Mus musculus: one gene and its partners. The protein of the gene in region 2 interacts with the protein of the main gene of each other region in a pairwise test. Links are inferred from orthologs where the notes say so. Each region holds a gene or a part of one and is shown on either strand. Other genes may lie near its edges.

What was found.
Region 1: the proteins of Arrb1 (region 2) and Mapk9 interact in binary tests that used the Homo sapiens proteins (3 or more experiments, as listed by UniProt). The link is inferred for Mus musculus from reciprocal best matches to the Homo sapiens genes ARRB1 and MAPK9.
Region 3: the proteins of Arrb1 (region 2) and Gnmt interact in binary tests that used the Homo sapiens proteins (3 or more experiments, as listed by UniProt). The link is inferred for Mus musculus from reciprocal best matches to the Homo sapiens genes ARRB1 and GNMT.

The regions. Positions count from the first base shown.
Region 1 is NC_000077.6:49,843,581-49,851,438, forward strand, and holds the start of Mapk9 (mitogen-activated protein kinase 9), read left to right. Parts: upstream 1-3,170; 5' UTR 3,171-3,395; intron 3,396-7,858. UniProt on the Homo sapiens protein: Serine/threonine-protein kinase involved in various processes such as cell proliferation, differentiation, migration, transformation and programmed cell death.
Region 2 is NC_000073.6:99,588,570-99,595,757, reverse strand, and holds part of Arrb1 (beta-arrestin-1), read right to left. Parts: intron 6,864-7,188; coding exon 6,804-6,863; intron 6,108-6,803; coding exon 6,040-6,107; intron 4,496-6,039; coding exon 4,360-4,495; intron 3,255-4,359; coding exon 3,170-3,254; intron 2,769-3,169; coding exon 2,696-2,768; intron 1,138-2,695; coding exon 1,000-1,137; intron 1-999. UniProt on the Homo sapiens protein: Functions in regulating agonist-mediated G-protein coupled receptor (GPCR) signaling by mediating both receptor desensitization and resensitization processes.
Region 3 is NC_000083.6:46,724,568-46,732,509, forward strand, and holds Gnmt (glycine N-methyltransferase), read right to left. Parts: upstream 4,599-7,942; 5' UTR 4,585-4,598; coding exon 4,379-4,584; intron 2,826-4,378; coding exon 2,698-2,825; intron 2,150-2,697; coding exon 2,039-2,149; intron 1,845-2,038; coding exon 1,702-1,844; intron 1,616-1,701; coding exon 1,494-1,615; intron 1,405-1,493; coding exon 1,233-1,404; 3' UTR 1,097-1,232; downstream 1-1,096. Other genes in the region: Pex6 (peroxisome assembly factor 2), read left to right, coding at 60-137, 258-397, 621-757. UniProt on the Homo sapiens protein: Catalyzes the methylation of glycine by using S-adenosylmethionine (AdoMet) to form N-methylglycine (sarcosine) with the concomitant production of S-adenosylhomocysteine (AdoHcy), a reaction regulated by the binding of 5-methyltetrahydrofolate.

The DNA of each region.
Region 1 (7,858 bases), on a different chromosome or scaffold from region 2:
GGCCTCTGACAAATTCTTGTTATCCTAGCACCCCAAGCCCAGGACTCATGCCTCCTGATGCTTGCGTGGTATGTACAGTGGACTTTCAGCTCAATCCAAAATTGCTGTACTATTTTGCAAAATATACCCACCAGCCGAGCATGAGTTCCACCTGCTTCATGTCACCGTCAACACTTGATATTAAGTTTTAGTGCATGATTCCTACTGGTTATGTAGTGATAGCTCATTGCAGATTGATTTATATCCCCCTACAGTCTTGAAGCAATTTAAAAATCAATTCTTTCCTCTTGGCACCTGCTACCATAGATAGCCCCAACCCATGCTTCAGTTTCTCAAAATGGCCTTTGCTGTAGCTCTCAACTGGTCTTGTCGTCTTAGCCCGCCATTCTTCAAATCTTACAAGTCTTAGTGAGCTTTCTAAAATGCACGTTGAATCACATCACTTAGCTCCTTGCTTACCACCCGTAACGGCTGCCCTTTACCTTACAGCCAGATTTCCAGCCTATCATGCTGCAAAGACAGATAGGTAAGGGCCACAGGAAGAATAGGGTGAAGGAAAACTGGGGCTTTACCTGTAGGGGTATCTTCCACCCAGTTTCTCAGGACCACAGCCCTTTGTGAAGAGAACCCAACAATGGAGTTGTTGCTTTTGTTTTGGAATCCCTTTCAGTTTTAAATGATGAAGAGGTGGCACAAAAGCAACCATTTACCCATTTGTCTAAATAAGGCAGAGCAATAAACAAGGCGGCCTATGTGCCCATCAGCCCATGGTCACCAACGCCACTCTGTCCCCAAAGGCCGCATCACTCCAATCTCCTTACCTACCACTCCTGCCAGTACAGGTGGCTGTGGTTCTGTGGACACAGCACACATGCCCCTCCCCGTTCTGAGTCCCTCCTCCTTCTGAGCACTTGGCCCAAATGTGTTTCAAAGTCTCAGACCCAGCCCTTTGCTTTGTTTTCCAGCCTCGGTAAGAACTTCCTTCTGCCAAAAGTTCTTCCACTGTTCCTCCCAGCCCGGCCACTGTGACCAGGCGTCAGTGTCCATGTATGGAGCCCACGACACAACACACTGTTGGCGGGATCTTTGCACTTAGAGGCTTCGCCCAGGATTCTGTGCACTCATTCAAAGCACGGACTCCCGCCATTCCACCCCACCCTGTCATTTCACCTCAGTATGTTCACCATTATTTTGAAAAAAAAAAGAACAAAGAGCAGCGTCTGTAGAAAAAAACAGAATCTGAATGGGAAACTTACTGGGTAAACATACCCATGATGATTTGTGGTTACTTACTTTGCATTGAGTTGGCTATAACACCAGTCTTGGATGTCTAGGGATTCTAATCTGAGGGGAAGCACTCATTAGTGTTCTTCAGGGAAACTGCAACAATGGTAGCCAGGCTGTGCTGGTTTTTAATAATGCCAACTGCTGGCTCTGTTTTCTTTGGAGCTTCTAAAGCAGTGACGGGAAGAGCCGAGGTGAGGACAGGTGTGGACAGAAGCTCACAAAAAGAACCTTTCTCAAAGCAGCACACTCAGGAACTAGGAGAATTTTGAGCAGGAATAAACCATACTCCCCCTGGTGGCCAGCATGGGGGTGGCCAAAGGAGGACTCTGCTAGTTGGGCTTGGTCAACTCGATTTAGTCCTATCTGGGAAGAGAGACTTTTAACTGAGACAATGCCTCCCTAAGATTGGTCTGTAATAAAGTTTGTGGGGACATTTTCTTCACAAATGATTGATGTGGGAGGGCCTAGCACACTGGAGGCAGTTCCATCCCTGACCTAGTGAGCTGCGTTCCCCCACTTCCTCTGCTTTGGTTCCTGCCTTGAGTTTCCTACTTCCTTTAACGATGGAGTGTGACCTCAGAGTTCTAATCCAAAATAAACCCTCTCCTCCCCGAAGTGCTTTCTGGTCATTGTGCCTTGTCACACCAATATAAAAGCAGAATAGGACAGAGACACTGTGATTGTCTGGATCCCCTTCTCGACCCTACTGCTCCTCTGAGCCTCCACCACCCTAGTTCAGTGCTTGAAACCAGAGTCACAGCTCTCTTCAAATTCTGCGGAGATTCATGGGGCCTCCTAGTCTCTTGATCTTCCTATACGCAGAGTCCTTCTCCCTGGCTCCTCCTTGGCATCTTGTGACTACAGCTCTACCACCATAGACACCACTTGTCAACTACTGTCTCCATTTTTCCAATCCCTTATTGACCAGTCCTCAGCCTAACCTGTTCGTAGCTTCCCTCAGTGTGTTCAACGTCCCTGTCTCACTTGCAGCCTCTCTATCAAAACACAGAGTAGTCAGAATCCCAAATTCTGAGTTTTCCAAACATCTGATTCACCTCAGACCTTCTGGAACCTACTTGAGAGCCAGAGGTCTGCAGAAGCGTCAACAAAAGCAGCAGTGTTAAAGACCCACTGTCTAGAAGCCCTTCAGCACTGGACGGACACCCTCCTCACCCCTCTACACCAAAGCAGAAACTTGTCTCTTATAAGAGGCCTCTTTAGGCTATACCCGTCACTGACTCATCAGGGTCATGGTCACCGTCTCCCCAACCCCCACCTTCTGGACATCTGGCCGCACCCCTGTTATGATCCCATTCAGTGTGGCATCTGCCTTAGTGAAAAACAAACCCCAAGGCCCCGCGGCTTGTCCTGGTTCTTCCTCCGGGGCCGTTGTACTCCAGGTTCCCAGGCTTCAAGTCCTTGATCATGCCCAGAACTCTTGTCTAACCCGGCTGTCTTTAGTCCTTTTCCAAGTCGCCTCTCCATTTGCACCTGCTACAACCGAGGCCTGACAATGGCTCCTACACTGTAGTCGCAAAGTCACGCCTCGCCCCTCCCCGGCTCTGGCTCCCCTTGGCCCACCCTCTCCGGCGCATGCGGGTCTCCTGGCCCTGGAGGGCGGGCTCAGGAGACGGTCCTAGCTTGACCTGGATCCCTAACTCTGTGCACACTGGCGGACGCTCTTCCAGCAAGCAGACGGTCAGACGGCGAGCCGCCTAGGGGGCGCCACTCTGCACTAGGGCATCCAGAGCGCGCCACTGGCCCCGCCCACACCCAGCCTCCAGCCACGCCCGTACTGCCCAGCCTTGCCCACCCCCAGTCTCAATTGGTCCCGCCTGTCTGGATATCCTAGTTCTGATTGGCTGGCCTAAGAATCCGTCAGACTGAGCGCCGCGGCGGCGGCGGCGGCGGTGGCAGCAGCGGAGCAGAAGGGAACCGGACCGGAAGGGTCGCAGCGCCCCGCGCCCCTCACACCCACTGCGACGGCGACGGGGCGGAGCAGAGCGGGGCGGGGCGACCGGGTCCAGGTCGTGGAGCTGGGTGCCGCCAGAACGCATCGCCGCCAGCGTGCCCTCCCTCTGCCTCCGGCGCGGCGGCGCGGAGCCGAGGTGAGCCGGGCGGGCGGCTAGGCCTGGCGGGGCTGCTCGGGCCACGCAGGGCCTGGGGTGCGGGGCTCAGGGGGTGGACTGCTCGGTACTGCCCGGCTATCCACGGTTCCGCGGTCGTTCTCTCCCGCCTGGTGTGTGCAGCCCCAGGGCTGCAGGCCGGCTGTCTGGCCGGGCCCCAGCAGACCTGCCCGCAGGGATCTGTGGGCGCCTTTCCTCCAGCTGTGAGGCACGTCGCTGCACCCCGCTGCATGCCCTGGAGCCTGAGCTCTGGTCCCCGCGACCTTGGCGGTGACTGCGACCCTCACTGGCCCTCTGCTTTCCCCTCGGGAGTAATGGTAGAATGTCTAGGGTTTGGTCGGGGTTGTTAACGGGCAGTGTAACTGTCTCAAAGCGTTAGGGCAGAGAAGCCTAAGGCGCACATTTGAGAGCATCTGAGTGGGTAAATAAATGCTCCCTTGCTGATGTGAGTGTCGTAGGAACTCCCCCTCATCCGCTTAGAGTCCTCCCCCACTTCTGCCCCCCCTCCCGAGCCTTGTCATTCATCTTCAGTGCCCAGCAAAGCCAGAGTGGGCCCTGCCCACCTCCTCCGCCACTCCTTCCCCTCTTAACAGAAGCAGATCTCTGCTCTCCTATCCTAAGCTCACCTGCCTTGGGCATGCCAAAATCATTTATTTACCTCAGGACCTTTGCACTTCGATTTCTCTATGTTCAGAGTTGTCTATAAGATTTTTACCCAGCTGTCTTCTCTCACATCGCTTCCTCCTGTGGTTCAGTGTCTTGTTATAGGCGAGGCCTACCTAGCTTGACCACCCTTTTCCCTCGCTTAGTCATTCTCGCTCATCAGTTTCTTTAATTTTCCATCCAGTACCTACTCTGGATTGATGCTATCTGATTTATTGCCCCGTCCTTTTTGTATAGCATGGTGAGTACAGGTAGTTGTTTCATCTGTAAAGTCAGATCAGTGAATGAACAGTAAGACCATCCCTGCCTATTATTATCTCTGCTTTGTCCATTTTGTTGGTGACTTTAACTTGTGAAACTTGTAAGCAAACAGACGCTGATTCTCACTTTGTGAAATATTTTCATGTTTTTAATCTCTTTCTAGTAGCTGTCAGAACAATTTGTGATAAAAAAAATACGTTTTGGTAAGAGTTTTGCTCTGGCTTCCTTCCACACATTCAGGAGTTATCTACTGGATTCTGTATTATCTAGGTCATGCTTTCTGCTGGGCTCTGGGGACACAAAGGAGATAGCAACAGGGTACCGTCCCCCAGAGAGTCCAGGAGCCCCATAGAGCAGACTGGCATGCACACAGTTCTAGGACAGGATATGACACCAGCTATAGTGAAGGGTCTGTGCCCTAGAAATGGAGGGTGTGGGGTGGGGGTGCTGGAGGGCCTTGAGCAGGGACAGACAGAAAGTGAAAGGGCAAGATCAACAAGGAACTCTGCTCAGTCTGGAGCCAAGAATCAGCCCTCCAGGGCAAGTGTGGGGCTTTATGGGGTGCTGGAGACCCCAGAGCTCCAGAACTTGGTTCAGCAATTTTTGTAAAAGCCAGGATTCCAAGTTTGTATCTGGACTCTGATATGTCAGTGTTGGCAATAGCTAATTAAAACTAGCTATTTGGTGCCAAGCCAAAATGCGGACCTCATGCAGCACTGCTAACCTCCTGAGCAGGCAGTGTGGGAGGGAGAAGCATGGAGGAGCAGGAACTGTAGCCTGAGGCCAGAGGAGCTAGGCCCTGTTCCCCAGATACCAGCCAGGCACTCATTTGAGTGTGGCTGGCACACTGGGTTCCACAGAGGAAGAAACGGAGGCTCAGTGCTTCAGCAGTTTGCTTCAGCGCAGGCAGCCAGTGAGAACTCGAACCCAGATTGCCCTCAATCTAAGGTTCTCAGCTCTATTTGTGTTTGGTTTTCGATTTGTTCTGGAAGAACAATAGCCAATCTATAAATGTTTCTCTCCTCCCTTTCAGAAGAGTCCTGCATAGTTAAAAATAATTGTCGTTTTTGGGGCATAATCTCTGGAGAGCTTTGGTTTTCCTGAGGTTTTAATTTGCAGGGTCTCGGGACTTTATAATTACTTGTTAACGGATACTTTGCTGTGTCCTTTATGAATGGTCAAAGGTATACTTGGATTTGTCAGTTTCAAATGGAAAAATAAGTCTTAACCTTCTGTACAAATCAAAATGCCAAACAAAGTAATTATTAATGAGTTACTAATTTTTAAAAGCTTATAAGATAAAACAAAAATCTGATCTTAAAAGAAAACTATAAACTTGTCAGTAGGCTGCTATATTTGTCTACATACAAAGTTATCTTTCACACCTGGCTAAGAAGGTGGCAATTTTATTAAAAAATAATTATTAATGGTTTATACTTGACCTCTGTGTGAATTGATTTCAATAGCAGTCTGTTAGTTGTTTATGATGGGGACTTTCAAATTTGTTAAAAAAAAATAAACAGCCTAGTATCAGTGTCTACAGGTTTCAACTCTGACAGTCTTGTTCCATCCCTGACCTTAGATCCTTGACATCCCATTGTTCTGTCCATGAACTTTTTAGTCTATGTCCCTAAAAGACAGGGCCTCTCTTAAACTTTTAAAAGCAGTAATTCTTTCATAGCATCAAGTAACCAGTCAAAACTCAAATTCCTAGGTGTCTTGTGTATCTTACAGTTTCTGTAATCACTTGAAAGTAGAGTCAAGTTTTTGTTGTGATTATTGGTCTTTTCAGTTCTCTGTTTGTTTTTATGTTTTATTTTATGGTGTTTGTTTTGTGGGTTGTTTGTTTGTTTTTTTTTCTTTCAGATATGACTTCATACTCATTATGAGTGAATGGCCCAGGCTGGCCTCAAATCCATGGCAATCCTCCTGTTTCAGCTTCCCATGTGCTAGAATTATAGTCAAAAGGCACCACACTCAGCTAGATGTCTTCAGTGTGTTGCTTTTCCTGCTTCTCTTCTGTTTTCCTTGTAGTTCACTTGTAGAAGCAGCTGGTGGTTCTGGAGTGTCTCCATGGTTGGGTTTTACAGATGCCATCTCTGCAGTATGATATAGAGTTTCTGTCTCCTGAGACATACGAGGTGAATCTAGGTGACACCCACTGAGATTGAGGGTGGACTCAAGCCATGGTGCCTTCTCAGCTGAGCCGGACTCACAGCTAGAGGCGTCCTGAAGTTCTGTGCTCATCAATGTCTTACAGATGAGGGTAGCTGCTTGGCACTGGATAAGTAACTGTTCCACAAGGAACCTGGCTTGAGACCTGACCTTAACCTTCCATACTGCCTTCCCACACTTATCCTTTTACTAAGCTTTGCTTTAAACTGACAATGCCTGGGCTGAACAATGGGCCAGGGTTCAGAAATTAGCCAGGTACAGCCTCTACCACTGAGGAGCTTGGAGCAGAGCTTTCTACACAGAATGGAAGGAGAGCTTGGTGCTGTTTAAAGGGATAGGCCGAGTAAGGAACCTTGCATGAAAAGTAGGTCCTTGAAGAGTAGAAGGGACAGGGACATCAGCTAAGGCAGATGGAGCCGCTGAGCAGAAGTCTGCAGGTGTGTCTGGTATCCAAGAGCGGGCCAGAGGGCTTGCTGTCTGCCCTTGTGCTAAGGACGGCTCATCAAGCTCTCAGAGTCACTGATGAAAGCATTCAGACAGGAAAAGGGTGGAATCGCTGTGTATTTTCACCAGATCTCCTTTTAAAATTTCTTATTGTGGAACAGTTACAGATCTTCAAGAAGCTGCGAAATCCCGTCTATTTTTTACCCAGTTTTCTCCATCGATTGTATATTTATATAACTCCAGTACAGAATCATAACAGGAAGTTAGGCATTGCTACAGTATGTGTACAATTCAGTATCGTTTTCTCATGTGCAGATTCCTGAACCACCATTGCCACCACAGGATACGGAAACCTATTACCATCCCCACGGTCTCCCCTACTGCCCCTTTGTAGCTGCCTAACTCACCAGCTTCCACTAAGCATATTCCCTGGCTATGCAGTGGCAAATAGGATTCCATGCTTCTGCCTAACAATCCCTTAGAACAGTTGCTCTTACTACATCTTCTACCTATGGTTAGTTGAATTTAAAGACTTGAGAATCCATGAATATGGAGAGCTACCAAATCAGTGCTGCGGCTTTTTTCAGTGCTGACTAATATTCCACAGTCTAGGTATGTAGCCATGGATATTTGTGCTATTTCTAGTTTTGATCTGTCACAGAACTGTTCTGAGCATCTGTGGCTGGTCCTTATGTGGGCAGATAGCTCTCAGCTAAGGGGCTTGGTACCTGAAAACAGGGCTAGCAGGGAAAAATTTGCCAGGCATTAAGTGTTGAGGGTGAGCACCATGTTTTGCATCGAGTACATACTGTAATAAATGAACAGAACTTCAGAAAGGAGGCCCTGCAAGGCTGCTCCAAGGCTCTTAAATATCAAATGGATACGTTTGCCTAACTACAACG
Region 2 (7,188 bases):
GGTTCCACATCTAGCGATAAGATGTCCTTGTTCTGTAGCCCTAGTGGACTCTCCTCCCTGCCTCACCAGTGCCACACAGTGCCGTGAGAACAGGCCCTAACCGCCCTCCCACCACTTACTTCTCTCACACTGCTTATGCTCGGTAACCCACAAGCAGAAAGAGCCACACTGAGAGCTGAGAAGCCAAGGGTAGCTGGGAGTCAGGGTAACATGGGAAGGATATGCTAAGTAGATACCTGGTGGTGGGGTGTTGAGGGCAGATCAGGTACAAGTCAGAGTAAAAGGAGGACAAAGAGCTTGTTGGTAAATGGGAGGCCTATGAGGGGTGATAATGTGATTGTCTAGCCTGAGCCAAGTCTGAGAGTGGGGAGCGTGGTCTCGGAATCAACAGACAAAGACCAAATCCCTTGCAGAGAGCCAGATATCATCAGAGGGAATGAAAGTCCCCCCACAACTGTCTGAACTCTTCTAGGGTGGGACAACCCTGAAGGCTCAGTGATGCCCATGGACCAAATGGCCTAATGGTGCCTCATGTGGAAGGACCCCCATATCTATACCCAGTTCCCCTCTTTTCCCCAGCCTCTCCAAGCCCCCATTTATCTCCTTCCAGTACTCTTCTAGAAGCGATTCTCTCCCCTCCAACCCTGACAGCATCAGGGACACACCCCAGTCTGTATTCAGGACTTTGGGCTAAGAGCTGCCAATTCTTAAAGAAAGCTTTTCTGGTTGTGTCCCCCAGAGGCAAATGATGGGACCCGGTAGTCTTTGGCTGGGTGGGTAGGAGTAGAAAGAGATCCTCCCTGGGTAGCCACACTCCAGGGGACTGGCCCTAGTCAAGACTTGGGCAAGAGCCTAAACCTCATCCTCATGGTGGTGGGCCAAGAGGGTGGGGCCCCGTCGTGGAGAGGGCACCGGGGGGCCTGGGACTCACAGCATCTGGGTCTTAGGGGCGGGCTCTCACTCATAGCATCTGGGTCTTAGGGGCGGGCTCTCACTCACAGCGTGCTGGAAGCCAGATTCGTGTCCTCATGCTTGAGCTTCCCGTCGAGGGCGAGTCCCCGCTTCTCTCGGTTGTTGGCCAGGAAGGGAGTCAGCGTATAGACCTTGCAGAATGTTGAGCTGGGTGCCACATTGTCACTGGGAAGTAGAGAGGCAGCATGAAGATGACTCTTATCACAGCCAGCCCTAACCCAGCCAAGACGCCTGGACTGGCCCTGTTCCACAACGCCCTCTGCCAGCAACCCTTATCTCCCAGATGCAGGCAACCACTTGGGCTGAGCCCAGCTCAAGCAGCAAGCCCACTGCCATGGGAAAGAGGAGAGGCCCACCACACACAAGCAGGACTAATCCTAAACTAGGCATGGTCACCATGCACACTTAAATAGCACACTTTTAAAAAAGATTATTTATTTTATGTATATGAGTACACTGTCCCTATCTTCAGACATACAAGAAAAGGGCATTGGATCCCATTCCATGGTCATGAGTCACCATGTGGTTGCTGGGAACTGAAATCAGGACCTCTGGAAGAGCAGTCGGTGTTCTTAACCACTGAGCCATCTCTCTAGCCCACACATTTATTTTTAGTTTTTATTTAATGATTAAGTTTTTAATTTGTGTGTGTGTGTGTGTGTGTGTGTGTGTGCCTCCATGACTGTCTGTGCACCACTCACATGCAAGTGCCCTCATTGGCCAGAAGAGCGCATCATATCCCCTAGAACTAGACTTACAAGCTGCTGTGAGCAGCCTGGTGTGGGTACTGGAAAATGAACCCTGGTCCTTTGGAGGAAGAACAGCACGTGCTCCTAACTGCTCAGCCATCTCTCCAGCCCACGTTTATGTTCAAAAGTGGGCATACAAACCATGAGTAAATGCCTGGAAGCCCCCACCTAGGTTCTACCATTGAAACTTTACTTGCTGCAATGTGTATCTATCAGTCATGCACAGGAACCTCTGTTGTTCCCTTTGGCTGGTGCTATTTTATCCCCCATCTCCCTTCTCAAAGATGAGGCAGATGCGTGCACCTGACACTGGGACAGTCCTGGAATAAGACCTAAATTTGCCTCTTGAAGGGAGCAGAGCCGGCCACATCTCAACCCCAAGCCCAACCCCACAGGAATGCTTACTGGAAGCCCAGGCAGCTACCCTTTCTCCAGACTGCAGATGCAAATATGTGACAGACTATGGCTATGACTATGTTCCACTTGGGGTTAAATGCTCTCCTGGCTCTGGGTCATTCAACGTACCCCCCAACACTCACCAGAAGTCTATGTCTCATGGCTGTAGGTTTTATTCTTAATCAACAGTGAATTTGAGAATATCCAATAATGCAAGAATATTTGGTTTAGTAATAACAGCTCCATCTCTAGAATATTAGAAACCATGTCAAAGTGGCAGGTGCAGTTGCTCACACCTATAACGTCAGCGCTTGGAAGGCTAAAGTAGAAGGATTGCCCTGATTCCAAGTAAGCTCAGGCTCTGAGTTTCAGGCCAGCCTGGTCTCAAAGTGAGACCTGGACTCAAAGACCGAAACAGAAGCCAGTGAGGCTACTCAGCACATAAAGGCACATGCCACATGAGTCCTACCCCAGGACATCTCTCTGCAGGTTGAGAAGAGATGCCTGGGCCTGGACTCAGAGCTCCCCTTTGTCCTGTCTAGTCCCACCTGTCCAAAGTCGGCTTCAGACACACTTACTCAGCCTCCTCCATGGCCACTGGGCACTTGTACTGAGCTGTGTTGAAGAGACAGATGTCTGCATACTGGCGCACTGGGGAAAGAGGGAGCAGGGGAGGTGGGTACATGAGTCAGGGGGTACCTCTCAAGATAGCCCTCAAGTTCCCTGTAGTAGGTGTGCTTGCTTAGATTGAGACAACGACCAGCATTTATCAGAGGCCACCACCCCAGACTCCACCCACACAGAAAACCCCATCAAAACCCAGTCCCTTCCATGACCAAATCTTTCCTCCCAGAACAGCTTGTCCAGGGCCCAGAAAGCCTATGAAGGGGCATGCAAAGCGGTAAACCCACTGCCCCAAGTGCCTACAGCTTTGAAGCCACTGTAGGCTGACAGCAGACCCAAGCTTCCAAAGCTACTAATGGTATCATCTCAGGCTTTTAACAAAGGCCACACCTGCAGCTATCCCAACCCTCGGTAGGATCCCCAGCTACCCGAGATCTTGATCTTCTTCACAGTCTTGTTGGTGTTGTTGGTGACGTGGACATTAACGCTGATGGGTTCTCCGTGGTAATAGATCTGTGAGGCAGATGACAGGAGAGCATGGACAGGGACACTGAACTCTGCCCCCAGCTCACCAGCCACTTCCCACTGAGATAAAAGTGTCACAAAACTACCAAGCATATGGACCTTCAGTACCACTGTGGGACCTTTCAAAGATATCTGTATTAGAAGATGACATTCCTGAACTCGGGGGACTGCTCTGCCAGTCAAGTACTTGTGTTGCAAACACGAGGACCTGAGTTTGATCTTGTAATCCCAGCACTAGGGAGGCAGAGACAAGAGGATCCCTGAGGCTCGGTGCCCACAGAGTCTAGCCGAGTTAGTAAGCTCCAGGCCAATGAGAGACTGCCTCAAAGGAGGGGGATGGCACTCCTGAGAATAATACCTCCAAGGCTGTCCTCCAGATGTACACACACACCCACCCACCCATGCACACTCACACATACACACATAGGAAAATGAAGCTGACATCTTCGGCTCCAGTCTCATTCTGACCACCAGCTAAGACAGCAATAATAGCAATGATGGTGACAACCATTGCATAACCTTGGACAGGTTAAGTGAGATGCTGTTTCTCCTTTATCCTATGTGCAGGCTTGAACAGAGTAAGGTCTCAAGTTCCTGTGGGCTCTGATGGTCTGGGTTCACAGACACATTAAACTCTAGAAGACTCAGAGAAAGAGAGGAAAGGCTAACCAGCTACTGGAGGACCTGCTCGGAATTCTCAGGGACCACCTTGTCCAGGCTCTTGTCTTTAGCTACCCCAAGAAGGAGGGACATACCCATACCCCAGTCAGCTGGCTCAGAGTCACCTGACTTCAAGAACTTTTCACCTTCTAGCTCACTGATAAGGGTAATAGCAAGGAGACCCTGAGTCCTGTTCCCCATCACCACCCTGCTGATTAGCTGGGGTTCTCCCTCCAGTTTGAAACAGGCAATTATAAGAGTGTAAGGAGGAATGGCCAGGACCCTTCCATTGCTCCTGTTCCATAGGTGCACATGCCCACCTCTGCCAGTCCTTTGGACCCCAACAGGATTCCCCAAACCCTCAAGGACAGTCCAGAGACACTGGGACCTGAGGGATAGTAGAGCTGAGGACAGTGGTGTCTGGGCCTCTTACCTCCTTATCCAGTGATGCCTCAAGGTGTAGGGGCTTGTCTGACATAAGGAACTGTCTGGTAGTCTCAGCCGTGGGCTGAGGGCCAGGTCTCTCAGGGGCATACTGAACCTTCCGGATGACTAGCCGCACAGAGTTCCTAAGGAAGATGCATGGGGAGAAAGACAGAGTCACCAGCCTCCACTCTCTTCTCTGTAATACCTAGACCCCTCTCCTGTTCAAGAGTCTACTGTAGCTCCCCATTGCCCACTGATCACAGAGGTTGAGCAGGAGGGTTTGTCACCATGTGACTCAGCCCCAGCCTCCTCAATTCTGTCCCTGAGCCACCCGACAACAGCACTTCATTTGGGTCTGCGTGTCCCAGTCCCCAGCATGATGGTAAGAAAGGGCCTATTTTTTACTTTGTGTTCCCCGTGTCTCCTAATAGTGTAAGCCGCTGGAGGATGGGAACTTCTTGCCCAGCTGGTTCACTACCACGGTCTCAGCACACGGGCCAGTACCTGCTGCCTGGCAGCCTTATCTGCTATGTGGAAGCATGCAGAACTGACAGGCCCTTGTGGGAGGTGGAGGTGGGGGGGTCATTATGGGATGTTGATTCAGCCAAGAGGTGCAGGAGAGTGAAGAGGTGACTCAGTGAGACTCACAAGTGAGAGGGGTTCAGTGGAGGTCACAAGGCTTAGGGTAGAAGCAAAGACGGACTGAGCTGGTGAGTATGACCTGGGGAAATTACCTCCCTGTGCATCAGTTTTCTCATTTGTGAAACAATGACAACAGCACTTAGCCCTCAGGACCCCGGGGAAGGTTAAACCACATCTGTCCATTACTGTGAACATGACCGGAACTAACTAAGCCTTTGAGAACTGACAGCTATTGTATCATTATGACTAGTGAATCTTGGGAGTAGACTTAAGATGCCCCATTGGGAGAGGGTGAGGGTGGTGACTCTCAGTGTTTCCTGCTGTTCATTATTCTGCTCAAAATCCCTCTCATATCCCATAACGCCATTAGGTCTCCTTTGTCACAGATCTTAAGGGGACAGACACAAGAGAGAAGAGTCTTTCTTGTCTCCCCCATACAAGAACAACCACACAACAGATGAAAATGCTTGTGATACTCCTAGTCGCCACCAGGTGGCAAAGTCATCCCTAAAGAGCTGGTGAGCACCCCTCAGCGGCTGACTTAGGATGCAAGGGCATCATAGCCAGGTGAAGGCCAGGAGGCAGGAGGTCTGAATCCCAGGACCCCCAGGAAGGGCAGCCATGAGAAGTCAGGACCAGAAGCTTTGTCCCCCCTGTCTGCCAAGCACTATGGGAAAATGTTGGCTCTCTGAGCCATGCTGAGCACACTCTGAGCCACACTGAGTCCCCTCTATGTTCACCTTCCTCCACTTCTGTCCCCTGTTCAGATCTGTCCACAAACACAGGCTTCACTCCTGCTGAGGGCCTCCCAACTACCCACTGTTGAAAGTTAACTGAAGTTGGGGGTCTTTCTAATATCAACAGGCTGCAGGGGTAAGGCAGAGAGAGGTAGGGATGTGAGAGAAGCCTGGCTCACCTCCTCCAGGAAGCTCGCCATCACCTGACAGACTTCTAGACCCTTCTCACAGCAAAGCCTCTCCTCACTGCGACTCCTTCGACTCCCCTCATTGTCCTTCCTCCCTTCTCCCACCAGTATCCTGCCTACCTTTTGTGGATCTTCTCCTCCAGGTTCTCAGCACAGAAGGCTTTGACTTCATAATCCACACCACAGGCCTGTGGAGAAGGACATGCTGACCCCATGGCATTGGGGAGGCAAGGTCCCCAACCACCCTCCCACCTTACAAATTAGAATTCTGGGTGAAAACACAAGCTTCTCCCACCTGAGGACTCCTTGTCATGAATCTGAAACCCTGGTACCCAATGTTCACTTTGTCTCCACGCTGCCCCTGGCCCAGCTCCTTCCACTGGAGGGCTCCTGTGAGCCCACCAGCCAACCCCAATCCCATTTGAGACTCCAGCTTCAGTCTGGGTGGTTGTTCTCAAGACAGCCACCAGCAACATGACGACCCTGTGCTGAGTGTCACAGAACCCCCCTAACTCTCTAACAACGTGAAGGCGTATGCTCATTGCCTCTGCTTTGCAGATGAGAGAGTGGAGTCTGGGGGCTGGGACCTGCTCCTTCCACCCCTTTCTAAGCTTCAGCTATGCCCTCTGTAAAATTCAAAGTTACCAGGGCCTGTGTGAGGCCATGTGTAGGTGCTCAGAATTTGCTGGTCTTGTGCAGTCAACACCAGAGCCAGAAAAAGTGACTTGAGGGAGCCTGTGAATGATTGCTTATCCAAGGAACATCAGCCAGGCAGCTTCCACAGGAAAGGGAGTTTGAACTGTCCACCACCCCATGGGGGGGAAAACCAGGATTCTGGGGACATGAGAGTCTGGACCCGAGATGGCCTTCTTGGAGTGACCTACCTTTCCTGTGTCCTCAGGCCCAGGCTGCAGAGTGACTGAGCATGGAAGGTTTGGCGGGATCTGTTCAGGAGACAAATAACATGAGCTAACCTTTCACCTCTGCTTTGTCTCTCCCGACACACCTCTGTCGCTACTATACACCCATCAGACCAGACCCCGTGAGGACAGACCATCTCTCCTCCATCAGACCAAGTCCTCTGAAAACAAGCTATATCTTTTCCATCAGACAAGGAGCCCCTGAAAGAGACTGGTTCTCTCCTGGCCAAGCCATATCACACTATGCCCCACAGAAAATCAGGGCAGGCTATGGAAGATGAGAATTCAAATGCTCTTCACCTAGGTTCTCTACTCAGCCTTGTCCTGCGGTCATGGAGCCTCAGAAACA
Region 3 (7,942 bases), on a different chromosome or scaffold from region 2:
GCATCCTTCACCTCTCATGGTTGGCAGCCCTAACACTTCCTGTCTCTGTCTCTCTGAAGATTTGACAAGCTGGTGTTTGTAGGGGCGAGTGAGGACCGGGCCTCCCAGCTGCGTGTGCTGAGCGCCATCACACGGAAGTATGCGTAGTCGGAGAGCTGGGGTGGGGGCTTAGACAGTTAGGGGATGTGTGCGAGTCAGCATGACTTCTGAGGGAGGAGGTGAGGCCAGCTTTAACATCCCTGGTGTGGGTGTGATAGGTTCAAGCTGGAGGCCTCTGTGAGCCTGGCAAACGTGCTGGATTGCTGCCCACCCCAGCTGACTGGTGCAGATCTCTATTCTCTCTGCTCTGACGCCATGATGACTGCCCTCAAACGCAGGGTTCGAGACCTAGAGGAAGGTGAGCCCACCTGCCAGCCCTGGATGGGAACCATAAAGCTAGGGAGACAGTCCTGGCCCTGAATTCCAGAGGAATGGCTGAGCAGGGGGTGTCGTCGTCGTCGTCCCGTCCCGTCCCCCCCCCCCCCCCCCGGGAGTGGCTCTCCTACCTAGGCATAGACTGCAGCCTCTGTACTTCAGCTAGGGCTGGGGCTCTGGCCTTAGTCTTCCTTTCCACCCCTTAGGGCTAGAGCTGCGGAGCTCAGCACTGCTGCTCACCATGGAGGACCTGTTGCAGGCTGCAGCCCGGCTGCAGCCCTCAGTCAGTGAGCAGGAGCTGTTGCGATACAAGCGCATCCAACGCAAGTTTGCCGCCTGCTAGGAGCTGCCTGCCTGCCCTCTGCCTATGCCCCCTGACTGAAGGTACCTCCCGCCTGTCGCCTGAAGGCTGCCTCCTCCCAGAGATCCCTTGTGAGCCCTAGTGGGGGCCCCTAGTGCTCAGGAGGAGAGGCAGGGCTGGCAGCTAGGGGCTTGGCAGCCTGTGACCTGTGCGGAGACACTAGTTCTGGAGTAGAAAATAAAGTGTATACTGCCTCCTACTGGTCTTGTGAGAGGTTGCGGTGCAAAAGGCAAGGTTATGGGAGGCTGAGGTCTTGAGGGGGGATTGGGGGGGGGAACACCATAAAAACACGTTACTTCTGAAGAAACACCAGGCACAGGCTTGGAGAATGCAGACTGTATTGTTTACTCCGTTTGCCCGACCCCCACATCTGCACCCAAATGCAATATCTGCATTAGGGGATGGTCTTAGGGTAGGGGCCATTGCCTGAGCATGGGCTTCTGGGAGCCGGAGAAACTCAGTCTGTCTTCTTGAGCACATGGATGAAGTAGCAGGGAACGTAGGCCTGGCCAGGCTTGTAGGGCTTGAAGTCACCCAGGACGCTGTGCTGGCACCTGCCCCCAAAGGCTGCTCGCACCAACTCCGTGAAAGACGCCAAACAGTGTGGGTAGTAAGAGAGCCGGAACTTACTGCAACAGGGCCCCCAGCCAGATATGAGGGCTGCTGGCCTCAGGTCTCCCCACCACCACCACCTCTCTCCTGCCAAACCACGTCATACCTGAAGCCAGGAGAGCCATCTCTGCCAGTGCCTGGCACCTGCACTGTGTAGTCCAGGGTTACCATGTGGGCTTTGTTGTTGACTGTCAGTACTGACGTCGTAATGTCCTTGGTCAGGTCACTCTGAGGGCATGGGTTGCGTCATTCCCTGAGCCACCACGGGGCTTCTGGCCCTCCAGCTCCCGCTTCCCATTGGGGGGCAGCCCAACCTTATAGTAGATGTTCTTCCCCGGGGGCGCACAGCCTGTGCTGAGGATATAGTCGTAGTTGCGGTGGTCGATCACCAGCAGGCCCCCGGGCCGCACCATGCTTGCAATGTTCTTTAGTGCCAGCCGGTGCTCGCTCTGGTCACCTGGGTTCCCGGCAGGGCCACAGACACCATCTGCTTAGGCCTCCAGCACCACCTCCCGCCCCTGTCTCCCTCCCAAGTGCCAGCACTAAAGAAGACAGGCAAAATGCAGGTCTGCCTTATCAGGGCAGCAGGCCAGCCATCTTCGGACGTGGGGGAGCTCAAGGCAAGAGCCACAGCCAAGGCCACCAGCTTACCTTTGCAGTCTGGCAAGTGAGCAAAACTGTTCCCAAGGCAGATGACAGCATCAAAGCCATCTCCTGAAAGCACATCTTTGTCCAGCGTCAACCAGTTGGCTTCTTCAATGACTGGAGGCCAGGGCAGGGGTTGGGGGGGGAGTCGAGAATTATAGCACAGCACAGAAGCAACCACCTCCTCCCAGAGACACATGGGGACTCATTAGGGATGGAGAGAGCCACAGTTGGCAAAGCCAGCCCTCCACTTAGGGGCTTTTGTAGGGAGGAGAGACAGGATGTGATAAGACAGTTAAAAGTAGCTCTGTAGGGCCCAGTGACTTGACGTACACCTCTAGACTCTGTTAGACAGGAGCATCACTTAAATCTAGCTTAGCCAAGCCAGGCAACACGGGAAAAGCATAAAAACCGCTGGTAATGCAGCCCAGTGATCAAGGGTCTACTTGGCATGCCCAAGTTCAATGCCTAGCACCATAAATACAACAAACTTGCTCTTACCAGCCGGAATCCTACTCTGATGCCAAAGCCTTCCTTTTTAGGAAGTTGACAGGGACTGTACCGTGCCCTGAGGAAAAACCATTCAGCTCCACAGCAAGAGAGAGCCAGGGCAGAGAGTGACCCTGGAGGTGCATGTCTGGGGGGGCCTGGACAGACAGACTTACCCCAATTGTCAAAGGATGGCTCTTTCCTCCGGTTCCAGCGCTCCTTAAGCGCATATTTCAGCATCTTGTCGCTGGCGTCCACGCTCATCACGCTGAAGCCCTCTTCCACCAGCATGATGGAGTCCACTCTGGATGAGGTCAGAAACGGGGGACTAGAGGACCAGTCAGAGGAGCCTGGGAGGCCAAATGTGTGTGACATTTCCCCAGACATAACATTCCAGAGTCCGTTCCTCTGCTTCCTGTCCCAGGCCATCTCTACTGGTCTCAAGTGACCCATTAAGAATTTTCCTGGGGGCTGGTGAGATGGCTCAGTGGGTAAGAGCACCCGACTGCTCTTCTGAAGGTCCAGAGTTCAAATCCCAGCAACCACATGGTGGCTCACAACCATCCGTAACAAGATCTGACTCCCTCTTCTGGTGTCTGAAGACAGCTACAGTGTACTTACATATAATAATAAATAAATCTTAAAAAAAAAAAAAAAAGAATTTTCCTTATCAAGTAGCAAAAAAATTTTTTGAGAGTTTTTTTTTTTTTGTTTTTTGTTTTTTTTTTAGCCTGGTTTAAACAGTGAGTTCCAAGACAGCTGGGGCTACAAAGAGAGACTCTGTTTCAAAAAAATTTTTTTTCAAAATTTAATTTCATGTGTCGTGCCTGAATATGTGCATCATGTGCATACCTTGTGTCTGCAGACCCCAGAGAGGGTGCTGGGCACCAAATTTGGGTCCTCTGTAAGAACATGTGCCATCTCCCCAGCTGCCTCTTATTAGAAACAGGGTCTCCTAATGTAGCCCTGCAGGGCCTGGAACTCACAGAGAGCCACCTATTTAGGACTCCCTGAGTGCTGGGATTAAATATATGTGCCACTACTCCTGACATCAACACATTTTTTTTTATTTTTAATTATGTCTGTATGTGTAGTACATGTGAGTACAGTGCCCTCCACGGCCAGAAGGGAGCGCTAACCTCCCCCTGGAACGGAATTCCAGGCGATTATGAGCCACCTGATGCAGATGCTAGGCACTGAGAGCCTGTCTTCTGCCAGAGCCTAAGGGGCTCTTAGTAGTCGGACCATCTCACCGGCTCAATGGCTTTTTGTTGTTGTTTTTGTTTTTAAATCATAGTCAGGCATTCTACAAAAGTGCACTTGAGAACCTGGCATACTGGTGCTCCTGGAAATATCTCAGTCAGAGGTGTCCGTGAGTTCTGGGCTGAGTCGGGAGTGTGGGCCAGACACTATCCTGGTCTGTATCCTCTCCACCAAATGGGGGCCTTTTACCTCTTGGAAATGACTTTTTCTTTAGTACTACTGGTTGGAGAAAAGCGCTGCTCACCTCGTGGGGTTTTGTTACAGCTTGCAACACACGTACCCAAACTCCTGGCACAGCACTTGGCTGTGCAAACGTGCTACAAATGTTCTGTTCACACTGCCAGAGGCCAATCGCAGGAGGAACAGCGCCGGAGCCAAGGATCCACCTTGACCCAAAGCTCGGATTTTGCTCTGTCCCATGAATCCTTCTCTGCGCACACCCTGGCCCCTTCCCGCACTGTTTCGGCAGATGCTCTCCCATGCCCATACTACCCTGATGAGCAAGGGCTCTTGACCCCCTAGTACTGCCTGCCAGGCTCCAGCCCGCAGAGGCTGCCCAGACTGGCCTAAGCAGGCCGGCCCGTTTGGACTCACCCTGTGCCACAGGCTACGTCCAGCACCCTGTGGCACCCGTGCTGGCGCAACAGCCCAAGCAACCACGCCTTGTACTCTGCGGTACGGCTGCGGGTGTCCCCGATGTACAGCTGCCACACACGTGCGGCCTCCCCATCTGCATACTGGTCCGGGAGCCCTTCGGCCGCCACCCCCAGGGAGCGGGTACGGTACACGCTGTCCACCATCCTGACCGGCGCCTGGCTCTCAGGCCACGCGATCCGCACTTATAATCCTCTGGCAAGGCAGTCCCACCTGGCCAATGGCAGGTGAGAGCAGGGACACGCCCCTGCTGGGCCCTGGGCCCAGAGCCAGGCTTGCTGCCTCTGCCTTGAGGATGGCTCAGCACAGCAATCCTGGACCTGGCTTAGTAAGACAGGTCAGATAGGACTCGCCAGGGTGGCCGGGAGGAACTCACAAAGTAAAGCAATGAGAGATCACTCCACCCCTACCCAAGGAGGAAGGGGAAGAAGCCTGAAATCCACCCAAAACAGAATTATTACATGCCCAGCCCAGCACAGTGTCTACACAACACTGCTTATCATTTAGTGGAGGGAACACTCCGCTAAAGAGAGCCACTGTGTCGGGACATTATGAACAGTCTTTGAGAAAGATGCCCATCCAAGTACAAGAGTACACCTGGAGATAGGCGTGTCTCTCTTCCCCTCCCCCATACCAGCCAGGAGCCTCCTAAGGTAGCCTGGGCCTTCCAATCCATGGGCTTTATACTCTGCAATCTCTTAAAGGCTGGGTGTAGTAAGGTGAGACAGGAGGATTATTAGTGCTCAATGAATTAGTGAACAATGTGGGAGACATAGCAAGCCTTCCATCTGCTTTCCATGGGAGCACCTTCAGAGAGGAAAGTTGGGGGTCGGCAGGGAAGGTGCTCATGGCGCCCGCTCGGGCTAGCGTCACTGTATAACCTGAGGGTCCGTTTCGTGTTACCCGCTCACCCTTTTTACCCCACCAAGGACAAGATCCCAGCCGGGCTAAAGTCGGCTCTGGAAGATGCGTGTGAGCGACGAGAAGCCTGCCCCGCCTGCCCTGCCTGCCCACACACTTCCAACTCTGTGAACACTCGTTACGTGGAAAGAAGAGAGAAGACAGGGAGCATCCCGCCCGCCCGCCCGCCCGCCCTCCCTTCGCCTTCCCAATGCAGGGTGAACCCTGGAGATGGAAGGAGGCCCACAGTTGTGTGACTTAACCTTCTTATAGTAGGTATGGCTGTTTTGACTTCATAGATGTCAGTATGTGTCTGACGCCCGTGGAGCCCAGAATCGAGAGCTTCAGATACCCTGAACCTGCAGTTGTAGACAGTGGGGAGCCACTCGGTGGTGCTGAGGACACTGAACCCCACAGAGGACCAAGTGGTTTGTTTGGTTTGGTTTGGTTTTTGTGAGAAAGGGTTTCTCTGGCTGTCCTAGAATTCACTCTGTAAACCAGGCTGGCCTCGAACTCAGAGATCCGACTGCCTCTGCCTCCCAAGGGCTAGGGCTAAAAGCGTGCGCTACGACCCTAGCTGCAGATAGGGCTTTTAATGGCTGACCTATCTCTCCAGCCCATATTTTTTAACTTTTGTTAGCACAGCGCCAATCTCAAATGGTTCTGACCAGGCTCAGTCTTGGGGACTCAATGTCCCTACACACAGGCCTCTGACACTATGCTCAGAAAGATTCTCGAGGCTGAGTGTGATGGTGTGTGCCTGTAAGTCCTATACTTGGCAGCTGAGAACAGAAAAGCTGGAGTTCAAAGATATTCTAGGGTACATAGACTTCAAGGCAAATCTGGGCTACATCAGTCCCTGTGGAGACAAAGCAGAGAGGAGAAACTGTATTTGGGAATTTCAAGTAAATCCAATGCCACGTATCAAAGCATTTTGGGGGTAAACCTATCAATCCTAGACTTTTTTCAAATCTCATCTCAGCATCTTAAGTGGTATCTTTTATTTACTTAGGGTTTTTAAAACTGGGGAACCAGGCATGGTGGTGCATTTTGTTTGTTTGTTTGTTTTTTGAGACAAGGTTTCTCTGTATAGTCTTGGCTGGCCTTGAACTCACAGAGATCCAACTGTCTCTGCCTCCTGAGTTGCCGGGATTACAGACAAAGCGCCACCATCTAGCTAAATGTATGTCTTTAATGTCAGCACTCAGGAGGCAGAGGCAGTTGGATCTCTGTGAGTTCCTGGACAGCCAGGGCAATGTAGAAACCTTGACTCAAAAAGCAACAACAACAGGACACCCAAGACTATACAGGGAAACCCTGTCTCAAAAAACAAACAAACAAACAAACAAAGCCCCAAGGGAATGGTGAGATGGCTCAGTGGTTAAGAGCGCTGACTGCTCTTCCTAAGGTCCTGAGTTCAAATCCCAGCAACCACATGGTGGCTCACAACATAATGAAATCTGATGCCCTCTTCTGGAGTGTCTGAAGATAGCTACAGTGTATTTACATATAATAAATAAATAAATAAATAACCCCCCCAAGCAATAACAACAACAAAAAATGTATGTTCAGAAAAAAGCACACAGCACGCAAGACTCCCTTCTCTCCTCCCATATTGGTTCCAGAAACCACACTCAGGTCATAGGCTTGGCAGCAAGCTCCTTTGCCGTTTGAGCCATCTTGCTGACCCGTGATTCTCAACCTTTCTAATGCTGTGATACTTCATGATACGGTTCTTCCTGTCGCAGTGACCCCCAACCATAAAACTATCCCCTTGCTACTTCAAACCTGTAACTTTGCTCCTGTTATGAATCATAATGTAAATATCTGATATGCAGGATTTTGACACGTGACCTCAAAGGGTTGAGAGGCACTGTCTAGACAGTCTTATTATGTAGCTCTGGCCGTCCTGGTACTACTATAAGGTTTAGTTTTGAAAGCAAGCCTCCTGCCTCAGCTTCCAGGAGGCTGGGGTCATAGGTGTGAGCCACTATGCCCAGCTTAGATACCCGTGACAGACTCCTGGCATACACTACGGAGTCTCAATTACGGAGGAAGCCGAGGCAGGAAATCATGGGAGCTCCGGAGTTCCCAGGCCAGCCAGTGCAACAGAGTGAGAACCACCCCAAAATCAGGAAAGGAAAGAGGGAAAGGGAAAGGAAGGGGAAAAGGGAAAATGGAAAATGGAAAAGGGAAAAGGGAAAATGGAAAAGGGAAAAGGGAAAAGGGAAAAGGGAAAAGGGAAAAGGGAAAAAAGGGAAAGGGAAAGGGAAGGGAAGGGAAGGGAATTAGCCTGGACATGGTGGGCATGTTGACAGGCCAGGATAGGAGGAGTTCCACAGACTCTGAAAGCACTGCTGGCGTCACGGAGGAAAGTTCCAGGCTAGCCTAGATTACTGAGTGAGACACTGCCTCAAAACAAGACTCATCTTCTCCAAAGGAAGCAGCAACCCCGACTTTCTTCCCAGGAAAGCAAAAGCTTCGCCCCCCAGTAAAACGCCTTTGTGAGGGTTGGAAGGTTATTTAGTGATGTTGGGGGTGAGGACGTCGCTGGACCCAGTGTCTCAGGCTTAACCTGAGTGCTGAGCCCTGTACCACTGAGCT